Linked DNA regions of Danio rerio. The protein of the gene in region 2 interacts with the protein of the main gene of each other region in a pairwise test. Links are inferred from orthologs where the notes say so. Each region holds a gene or a part of one and is shown on either strand. Other genes may lie near its edges.

Region 1 (6,542 bases), on a different chromosome or scaffold from region 2:
ATGTTGCTCGTTTCAGATGACAAATCTACTAGAGAGCACTTTTGTGAATCAGAAATACTTATGGTTCTTTTTGTTGTATTTTTCAGCTACACATTCACATTCTTCTTTTACATGTCCACGAGAAGAACTAGACCAGTGAATCACTGACCTTAACCAAATCAATAGTTTCCAAAGCAAACGTTAGACAAAAGTGCTCTGCGACCACATAGTTATACATTGCGTTTATCTCTTTGGAAACCCGAGTACTCTACTGAGGAAACTGACCATGCCAGAAAATTGTCCATAAGAAATGGAACAGGTAAGGCAAATGTTTTTAGTAAAAATCTTAAACATTGTTGTATTTATTTGAAGAACATACATAAAAACTGCAAGAAAATTGTTTTAAAAAAGTTCGGTATGAGCATGCACTTTGAAATGAATGGCATTAAGCTTAGGGGCCATCCAAATGTATTATTTCCAATGTGGCCCTTTTTTACTTATTTTGTTTTTTACTATTAAAACTATTTGCTTTAGTAATGTCAGTCAATTAAAATAAAGTGGTTAAATGATAATAAAATTTAAAAAACAATTATGGACTTTATTTCTAAATGGATTGTTAAAAAATATGACGTAATATTAGATACTGAATTATATAAAACATTATATCTTGATAATTTGTTTTGCCGTATTGTCTAGCCCAGACTAAAGCATGTATTTCCAATGAGGCAGCGTTGGTATTAGCAGTCTGTTTGCTTTAAAGGTGCTAATAGGTTGCTGGATAGATGGGCTTCAAAAAAAATTCTAATGATCATTAACTTTGCAAGGACATGTCGACGATGTTCCACTAGCCCTAACCCTAACCTATCAATCTATTAATACTCTACTAAAACTCTAATGAGTGTTAGTTGATATGTAGTTGCAAAGTTACTTAGTCAACACACCGTCTAAAGAAAACCATCAAAATAAAGTTTAACCAGGTTTTGAATTCTTTGTGCCAGTCTTTGCTGTATGGAATTTTACATCATATATATAGCACAATATATTTTATTTGATAAAAGATATATATATATATATATATATATATATATATATATATATATATATATATATATATATATATATATATATATATAAATAAAACATAATAGTTTTAAAAACCTATCTCTAATAACTGATTTCTTTTATCTTTGCCATGATGACAGTAAAAACTATTTTACTAGATGTTTTTTAAGACAATTCTATACAGCTTAAAGTGACATTTAAAAGCTTAACAAAGTTAATTAGGGTAACTATACTCTATATGAATTATAGAGTAATTCGGCAAGTTATTGTATGATGATTATTTGTTCTGCAGACTATCAGTAAAAAATATACCTTAAAAGGGCTGAAAATTGTGTCCTGAAAATAGCTTTTAAAAAATTAAAAACTGCTTTTATTCTAGCCAAAGTAAAACAAATGATTTTTTTCCAAAAGAAAAAAATATTATCAGACATACTGTGAAAATTTCCTTGGTCTGTTAAACATCATTTGGGAAATATTTAAAAAAAAGAAAACCAAAATCAAATAATAATTCTGACTTCAACTGCAAATATTTTAAAAAGTTTATGCGTTATGTAAGTGTTTATTAATGTAATTAAGCAGTGAGAGTTCAGTTAATTGCTCAAAGTGTCTTATGAAAATAAGGAAGGCTTGCAGAATGGCTCACTGAATCAATCAGTAAATCAATAACTTTTCCGTTTTCTCAGAACACTGACCTCTGAAGAAGCTTTATAAAATCGACAGAATTATCATTGGAAACTAGCCTATAGTGAAACAGTTGGTTCATGATTATCCATCCTTGAACCAACCAATACAACATAAAAAAATAATAATGAATGAGAGAATATGAGGATAAAGCTATTTTTCTGTCTTGGAAAGCAGCACAGTCTCCTGCTCTCTTCGTCTGCCTCATATGCACAGGTGCAGTGTTTTAGACAATGTCCCCTGGACTCTCACTGACCCTCAGCTGCACTTTCCGCTTTAAACCTTTAATAATACATGCAAAAAGAATATTAAATCATCTTTGCTAACTGTATTACAGTAGTTTATATCCAGATGCCTCAGGTATAAAGTCTCTCCGTGTTGAAAGTAATTTTTGTAGGCCTATTAGTTAAGACTTATAGTATATAAAAAAGGCAACATCAACGCTTTAAAAATAGCTAATTTATTCACTCAAACAGCTATCACAGCGTGTAGCACACCAGATCTTCATTAGTCTATTTTTTTGTACTTATTTTTGTTTGGCTGAAATAACAGATTAATACTTGTATGAGTTTTGAGTATGACCATAGAATACTTCCAAATACTCCAGTACTACTTGAATTGAAATAGGCCAATTATTAGTTCTTAAAATACTTTAAGTGTGACAGTTGTAAACTTAATTTCTACATCTAATATTCTACATTCCACTCTATCTATCTATCTATCTATCTATCTATCTATCTATCTATCTATCTATCTATCTATCTATCTATCTATCTATCTATCTATCTATCTATCTATCTATCTATCTATCTATCTATCTGTCTGTCTGTCTGTCTGTCTGTCTGTCTGTCTGTCTGTCTGTCTGTCTGTCTGTCTGTCTGTCTGTCTGTCTGTCTGTCTGTCTGTCTGTCTGTCTGTCTGTCTGTCTATCTATCTATCTATCTATCTATCCATCCATCCACAATGAAGTTGACAACTTACCTCAATAGGCAACTGAGCAGGTTCACAAAAACAGTGCACTTTAACTCCACCTAGTGTTCATTGTTCAGATGTGGGAATCACAGGAAGTACTGTTTACTAGGCCCGTTTGTACAGGCACAGTAGGTGTTTGTTCAAGGTTACAACGCGAAATAAAAAAGTAGGGTACAGTCATGTTTTACTTATTGGGCCTGGATAACGAGCAAGATAAGGTTGCATCCCGTTTGGAGGGACGGGGAATATATATAGGTGAGATATTCCCGCTCAAACCCTCAGCACTTCAGGGTCAAATGAAAATTGCTTAAGCAATTTGGCAGCTGCACATTTGCCTAAATCTGAAAATAATACCCACATGGTTTATGCACATTGTGAATTAAATTGATGTTGGAAAGTCGGACTATTTACTGGGGTATCTGTACCTTATTGTTACTGTTTACCGTTTGTTTTGCTGCAGTCTGTTTGCAATCAGAATGAGCTGTAGAGTTATTTAGGTCTGTATCCGATTCCCGGATAGTGTTTTTTTAGTGTTTTCATGTTTTAAGACAACTTAGAGATTTTTTTTTATTATTAGTATGTGGCTTTTCATCGCCAAAAACACGTTGTGAATTGTGTATTATAGCTGCTTGCTATTAATATTATTTTGGCTTTAACAACAAAACAATTATATTTTACCTAGCAATTGGTGTATGTTAGATTTGAGTGTTTTTCAGAATAGGTCTTCTACTTCAGCAGCACTTACACATTTTTTTTCATATGAGTTTTTTTCTTTCTTTTTATAAAGGGTTATCGTTATAAATTTACAAATTTATATTGTGCATACAATTCTACAAATTCTGAAAAGAAGCATTTTTGAAAAAATGTTAAAAACAGAAAAAAGTTTGTACCTGAGATTATTCAGTGTTCAAATTTTTGTGCTAGACATACAGTTGAAGTCAGAATTATTAGCCCCTCTGAATTATTAGACCTCTTATTTATTTTTCCCCAATTTTTGTTTAATGGAGAGCAGATTTTTTTCAACATATTTCTAAACATAATGTTTTTAATAACTCATTTCTAATAACAGATTTATTTTATCTTTACCATGATGACTGTAAATAATATTTTACTAGATATTTTTCAAGACACTACTATTTAGCTTAAAGTGACATTTAAAGGCTTAACTGGGTTAATTAGGTTAACTAGACAGGTAAGGGTAATTAGGCAAGTTATTGTATAACAGTGTTTTTTTCTGTAGACTATCGAGAAAAAATATAGCTTAAAGGGAGTAATAATTTTGTCTCTAAAATGATGTTTTTTAAAAAAACTGCTTTTATTCTAGCCTAAATGAAACAAGTAAGATTTTCTCCAGAAGAAAAAATATAATCAGAAATACCGTGAAAATTTCCTTGCTCTGTTAAACATCATTTGGAAAATATTTTAAAAAGAAGAAAAAAATTCAAAGGGGGCTAATAATTCTGACTTCAACTGTACATGTAAACTAACACCTACTTCATGACCTCATTTGCATATTCAAAGATAACATTTGAGAAAGCGGGTAATACAAAAAAGATCATTTCTAATTTTATCAATCTACTGATGAAGTATGATGACAACTATTGACATTATTTGGTTTTCTTATGGCTATAGATCAGGCATGTCCAAAGTCAGTCCTGGAGGGCCTTTGTCCTGCATATTTTAGTTCCGATCTTAATTAAACACACCCGAACAAGCTAATCAAGCTCTTTCTAGGTATACTAGAAACTTCCAGGGATGTGTGTTGAACGAAGTTGGAGCTAAACCATGCAGGACACCGGCCCTTGGGGACCGAGTTTGGACACTCCTGCTATAGATGATCTGAATATGATTTCTTCACATATCCTATTGCATTTGAACATTAAGCAGTACACAAGTATTACATTACAAACATTTCCCAGCTCTGCTGTCATTTCCTGGGTTTAGATCCTGGATTTGAGGATTTCAGCTTTATGCAGCTTTTATCCAGTTTTATTTCAATGTAATCCAATGGGCCATACCAAAAATGCCTGAATCATTAGACCCTTTTAAAAGTAATCAAAAATTAACATTCTGTACTATTTTTTCACAACAAACCACCAAACATTATTTTAAAAAGTGATAATGCTTTTTTCTTTCTAGACTGAAGCATCATAATGTTCAGGCACAGGGTAATGTTGCAGAAAGTCCTGCTAAAACAAGTTCACCACATCCTGTCTCATATTCAAGCTCTGAGCTTGGACACGCATTCACAGAAAAAAATTAAATGCGATTTATTACTGATTATCCCAGCAGGGAGCCAGGGAGCCGGATACAAAGAATGAAATAAGCTTTGTTTCATTCTGAGACACTTTCTTGTGGAAAACCATACATTTTCTCTTTGATTTCAGAATAAATTCTGTTCCACAATAACCTGTTGGGTGACTGTTCCAGACATCTAATGGAGCAGCGGTGGCATTTACAAGAATTCTCTACTGAGGGTGTCAGCCATCATTTCAATCTCAGCTGAGAGCTTGTCAGGTACTGATTTTGTCTCCTGCTTAACACACACACACACACAAAAAAAAACTACTGCAACTTTTTTGTTAAGTTTCTGTGATCCTGGAGTCCAATATTTTGCTGTGCTTTTTACCAAACCTCTTACTTAAATTAAATCTTCAACCTAAATATGAATAATCTAGGGCTTCACATTAACCCCTGCCAAATGCGGGTTGGTTTCACCTGTGGCGGGTTAGACAGACACCCTCTCTAGCTACTATGGCTAGTTAAAGAAAGTTTTCTGTGCTGGCTCGTCCTACTTTTCAAGAGCTTAAGATGTAAGCAGCAGCGGTTGACGCTTTTACTTTGACCATTCTTTGAACAGATTATTAAAGAGCCTAACATAAACTGTGTGTCGTGATCATCCTTTCTCTATCACACAGAATATTTTCACCAGCTTTATTTTGCTTGCAGTTATTTTTGTTAGTATGGTTTAATTATCCTCTTTTACAATAGCATTGCTCTATCTAAATTAAATCACACATTTTTACAAAGTTGTTATTCAGAATTCAGATTTTCATTTCTGGACATATTGTTCTTTAATATCTTTATCCTTGTTTTGTGCGACATGAATTTTTTTGAAGTTGTAAATGGATTATTGGAGTGCATTTTTATACAGTTATTCTACTTTAAAAAGTCTTGTTGAATTAAGTGTGCTATTTTCCATTTTGTTGTACTTTATTAAATGTACCAGTAATTCCTGAGTGACTGATTTTGTGACTGATGCTGTTGCAGAGCTTATTTGTCACACATGCATGTGTGCATTAGTATTGCAATAGTCCTGATAAATCCAAGGGCCGCATTTGGAGGATATGAATTAGATAAGACAACAAAACTAATTAAAGGTTAAGCAAAAGATAATGATGTTATTTTTGTGCCCAATCACAGTAATTACGCAACCAGAAAAATACACGTTGGTCTACTGCAACTTGACATACCGAACAGATTTTGAGGCTATATTTGGATAATTGAGCTCAGGCAAAGGTCTTTAAGAGTTATTGGGCAATTTCTCTGAGGCAAACATTGAGAGTAGTGGTTACAAATGCAAATTTTGTCTGATGACTTACCTCTGTGGATTTCTTTCACTGTGTTTGTGCACATTTTGCTACATATGTTTTCGTTCGTTTTTTTACTTATTTTTCATTACTGAATTACTGATTTCATACCTTAAACACTGTGCTAAAATTGTAGGCACATTAGATGCACATTTCATTTTAAAAGTGGTTTAAATGTTTCCTACTTTTATATATATATATATATATATATATATATATATATATATATATATATATATATATATATAAACATATATA
Region 2 (4,668 bases):
GTAAGAAATAATTTCTCAATTTTGGGTTAATAAGCAATAATTTAAGCTTTTTTTATCTTAATATTGCTTAAGTCATAATTTTTATTTTTTATCTCGTATTATTGATCAAGTCATAATTTAAATTATCTCGTAATATTAAGTCATAATTTAAATTTTTAATCTCTCAATTTCGAGTTAAGCCATTTCAACTTTATCTCAACATATTAAGTTATAATTTAAACTTTTTATCTAGTAACTTTGACTTAGTAAGCCGTAATTTAAACTATCTCAAAAAGTTGACATTGAGTAAATCAAACATTTATCTCGTAATTTGAATTAAGTTATCATTTTGAGTAAAGGCACCATTCAAACTTTTTATCTCGTAATTTTGATTAAGTCCTAACAATAAGCAGCATTATTAATGCTGAATATATAAGTTTATGTTAGAGATTACTTCAAAAATAGAAAATATTCCTCGTACTTGAGGACTGATAAAATAAATAAAAGTAAAACATAATAGTATTTTTTTTAGACACATGCTTATCTATTACATATCTATTAGATCACAGTTGTTTTCCATTTCATTACATTGAGCTCTCTTGGCCACTGTAGATCTGAATTAAATCAAAATTATGAGAATCGAATTGGGATATAAGAATCAACACACAGCTGTAATTGCTGCTGAATGAATACAAGCTTATATAGCAGGCTTTACTTCATAAACCAGAAAGAGGACTCACAACATAAATAAATAAATAAATAAATGAAAAAAAAATGTTTTATACAAACTGCTTAAATAAATGTGTGCAATACCTAACCAGTCTTGTCGTCGATCCCAGTTGTAAGAGCATCAAATAATAACTTGACTTCTAGTTGATCATTTGGAAAAGTGGCAGAAAGTGGATTTTTCAGATGAATCATCTGTTGAACAGAATCACAATCATCACAAATACTGCAGAAGACCTACTGGAACCTGCATGGACCCAAGATCCTTAAATAAATCAGTCAAGTTTGGTGAAGGAAAAATCATGGTTTGGGGTTACATTCAGTATGGGGGAGTGCGAGATGTTCTGCAGAGTAGACGGCAACATCAACAGCCTGAGCTATCAAGACATTTAATACATTTAATAAGACAGTTGATAGCGCTCCTACTTCAGCCTCCACATCAAAGTTCCTGAAAGCAAAGGTGGCCAAGGTGCTCCAGGATTGGCCAGCCCAGTCACCAGACATGAACATTATTGAGCAAGTCTGGGGTAAGATGGAGGAAGCATTGAAGATGAATCCAAAGAATCTTGATGAACTCTGGGAGTCCTGCAAGAACGCTTTCTTTGCCATTCCAGATGACTTTATTAATCAGTGATTAGAGTCATTGCAGAGATGTGTGGATGCAGTCCTCCAAGCTCAGACACAATATTCATTCTGTTTCCACTGCAGCATGACTTCATATTCTATACTGGACATTATTTCTGTTAAGTGACAAGACTTTTGTCTAAGCAAAGTCAGGGCTTACTGTCTTAATTAAATAATTAAAAATCAACTCATGATCATATTTTTGGTAAAATACGTGTAATCTACAGGCCTTTGCCTTTCACATAAGCCACTTCTGATACTAAATGACCCACTAGAAGTCAAGTTATTATTAGTCGTTCCTAAAACCTGGAAAAGCGACAAGACTTTATTCAGGTAGTGTATTGGATCACAGTTGGTTTCCATTTCATTAATTAATCAATCAATCCAAAGTGGCTCAAATCAATAGGTTAACAATCATTTTATTCAAGCAGAACACAATGAGCCGAAGTACAGATGTGGAAGCAGTGAACGTTGTATCTCTGTGCCAGTAAAAGCTTATCTGGGAGTTTCAGTGGTGCTGCTCGGCATCGGGCTCCTCCGGAAGCGTCTGTGTGTTTGCAGCAGGAGTTCCCATTAGCCCTCCGTCCTGAGCTGTGTTATAAGAGCCACAACTGCTGCACTTCATGCCCAACACGTGAAAGGAGACGGTGCTGCGAGCCTGACAGTCATTGCATATGATCTGAAGAAAATAACACACACATGGGTCAGGAGAAAAAGGTTTTCCACTAATCAAAACAACCTAGGCCTGACACAATAATCAATATACATATGGACATTTCGCTCAACACACGGACATGACCGCAATCATTTTTGGTGATGCAATACATACAGTTGAAGTCAGAATTATTAGCCCCCCTGAATTATTAACCCTGTTTATTGTTTTCCCCAATTTCTGTTTAATGGAGAGCAGATTTTTTCAACACATTTTTTTATCATAATAGTTTTAATAACATCTCTAATAACTGATTTACTTTATCTTTGTCATGATGACAGTAAATAATATTTGACTAGATATTTTTCAAGACACTTCTATACAGCTTAAAGTGACATTTCAAGGCTTAATTAGGCTAATTAGGTGACTAGACAGGTTAGGGTAATTAGCCAAGTTATTGTATCCGCTTGTTAAGTGTGACGTCACGCGGAGCGGCTTCCGGGTCCAAGCGCTCTATTCAACTGAATGGGGAGATTCATGAAATGGTAATAATAAACGTTTACAAAGCGATTTAATACTTTCGAAAATCTCGATCGGAATATATATGTCCATGCCTAATATCCAATGGCCAGAAAGTGATTCATTGTTTTATAAATTGTTAAGATTTTGGTATTTGTTATGCAGCAAGCTCAGAGATTGTTGTGTACACTATGACTTTATGTAAAATTAACTTTAATGTGTGATAGGAATAAAACGTGATCATAAACGAATGATTTCTTCACTCAAATGAATGGCGGCTTGGACCCGGAAGCAGTATACATACGTCATAAACACATCACCACTTAACAATAACGATGGTTTGTCCTGTAGACTATCGAAAAAATATAGCTAAAAGGGGCTAATAATATTGACCTTAAAATGGTGTTTAAAAAATTAAAAACTGCTTTTATTCTAGCCGAAATAAAACAAATAAGACTTCCTCCAGAAGAAAAAATATTATCAGACATACTGTGAACATATCTTTGCTCTGTTAAACATCATTTGGAAAATATAAAAAAAGGAAAAAAAAGAAATTAAAGGGGGCTAATAATTCTGACTTCAACTGTATATATTGTCCATACATAAAATCCAATTCTAGCAACCCTTTAGCGGACTGTGCAACATCTCTCTCTCTATTGCAGGTGTCAGTTTCAGTATGGTTAAAAAAAGCACTATAGTGTTTACTACAAATTACTATAGTATATTTTGATTTGGGTGTCTGACAACTGAAAATAGATCTGGTAGCAGATATCACAGCCTCTGTGACTTTACCTTACACCGTTTGTTAACATTTATTTTTATTTATTTAGGATGTATTTTCACATTCAATGCCTAATTCCTAAACTGTTAAAATGACTAAAAGTAAATTAAATATTCTTAGGAATAAAATATGATCTTGGAAGAGTATACTCGCATTATGTTGATATTATATTGTCATTCTGGCAATCGAATTTACGAATCGTAATCGTAAATTCGAAATATATTTTGATGCTGTATATCACACAAGAAAAAAACTAGATATTGTGCCCCCTCTACACTAGTGCGTTTTAGTTTTAAAACAGCATTTTAGAATAAAAACGATCCGCATCCTCACTAGCGTTTCACCCAGCGTTTCTGAACAGCTCTCCGTCTACACCAAAACGACGGAAAACGCACATTACATGACCACACACACACACACTCTGGCATGCGCTGCAGCAAATCGAGTCAGATGAGAGCTGTGCTCGTCAGACTCATCAAGGGTCTCAAACTAGATCTAATCTCACTATATTTGTTAATCGTGATATTTCATTTATCTTGTTGTCTTTGTTTAATGACATACTCCTGACTTTGGTCTCTTGAATCTGTTACTTGTTCTCAGGTAACGTGTTTTGGCTGAGCGTAAAGATAGGTTAATAATTAATGTAATGTATTGTACATTATACTTTTATAATGGCCATTATTGATTATGAAAACTCATATTCAGCAGAAGAGAGGGAATGTTTTGTACTGAAGATGAAAGGAGGCAGAAATGTTATAGGCTCCGTTTTGTTATAAATATCCACACAGTGAAGATGAAGCTCATATATGCAGCACGACGCCTCAACATTTCTGCTGTCTGTTAAGTTGTTAATATCAAAATGAAAATAGGCAGTTCCTTAAATCATGCTTTCATTTTATTGTTGAGAAAGTGAAACAACATAGCCAGGATGATGTGAATGAGGTTATAAAGTTAACTGTTCCCATTGAAGATTTACCGGACATGTCCTCGGGAGTCTGTTTTTCATATCAAACTTGCGAAGTCTGAACTTACAACGAGAGGATGCAAGAACTGTGTGTAGGCTACTTAATATTGAGGAAAAGCCCCAATCAGATAGGTGAATGCCCACCTCCGTTTTCAGATGTCTCCATTTTCCCCCATCCACACTGAGATGGAGCAGCAGCGTTTTAGAATGAAAAGGGCCTGTCAGCGTTTTCGGCATTTGAAAACTCCGGCGTAGTGTGGACTGATGGCGTAGCCGTAGCAAAATGTATGCGTTTTAAAAAGAAAACGCATTAGTGTAAATGGGGCCTGTAACATTGACCATGCCACCCTCTCCAGCCTATTCACTTTAATATACTTTCCCTTTTCTCTCTCTCTTTTAAATTGTTCTTTTATATTTTGCGAT

Evidence for each region.
Region 1: the proteins of rchy1 (region 2) and aig1 interact in binary tests that used the Homo sapiens proteins (3 or more experiments, as listed by UniProt). The link is inferred for Danio rerio from reciprocal best matches to the Homo sapiens genes RCHY1 and AIG1.

The regions. Positions count from the first base shown.
Region 1 is NC_133195.1:40,767,434-40,773,975, forward strand, and holds the start of aig1 (androgen-induced gene 1 protein), read left to right. Parts: upstream 1-2,756; 5' UTR 2,757-2,949; intron 2,950-5,081; 5' UTR 5,082-5,211; intron 5,212-6,542. UniProt on the Homo sapiens protein: Hydrolyzes bioactive fatty-acid esters of hydroxy-fatty acids (FAHFAs), but not other major classes of lipids. Show a preference for FAHFAs with branching distal from the carboxylate head group of the lipids.
Region 2 is NC_133180.1:9,858,235-9,862,902, reverse strand, and holds the end of rchy1 (RING finger and CHY zinc finger domain-containing protein 1), read right to left. Parts: intron 2,009-4,668; coding exon 1,838-2,008; 3' UTR 1,731-1,837; downstream 1-1,730. UniProt on the Homo sapiens protein: E3 ubiquitin-protein ligase that mediates ubiquitination of target proteins, including p53/TP53, TP73, HDAC1 and CDKN1B. Mediates ubiquitination and degradation of p53/TP53; preferentially acts on tetrameric p53/TP53.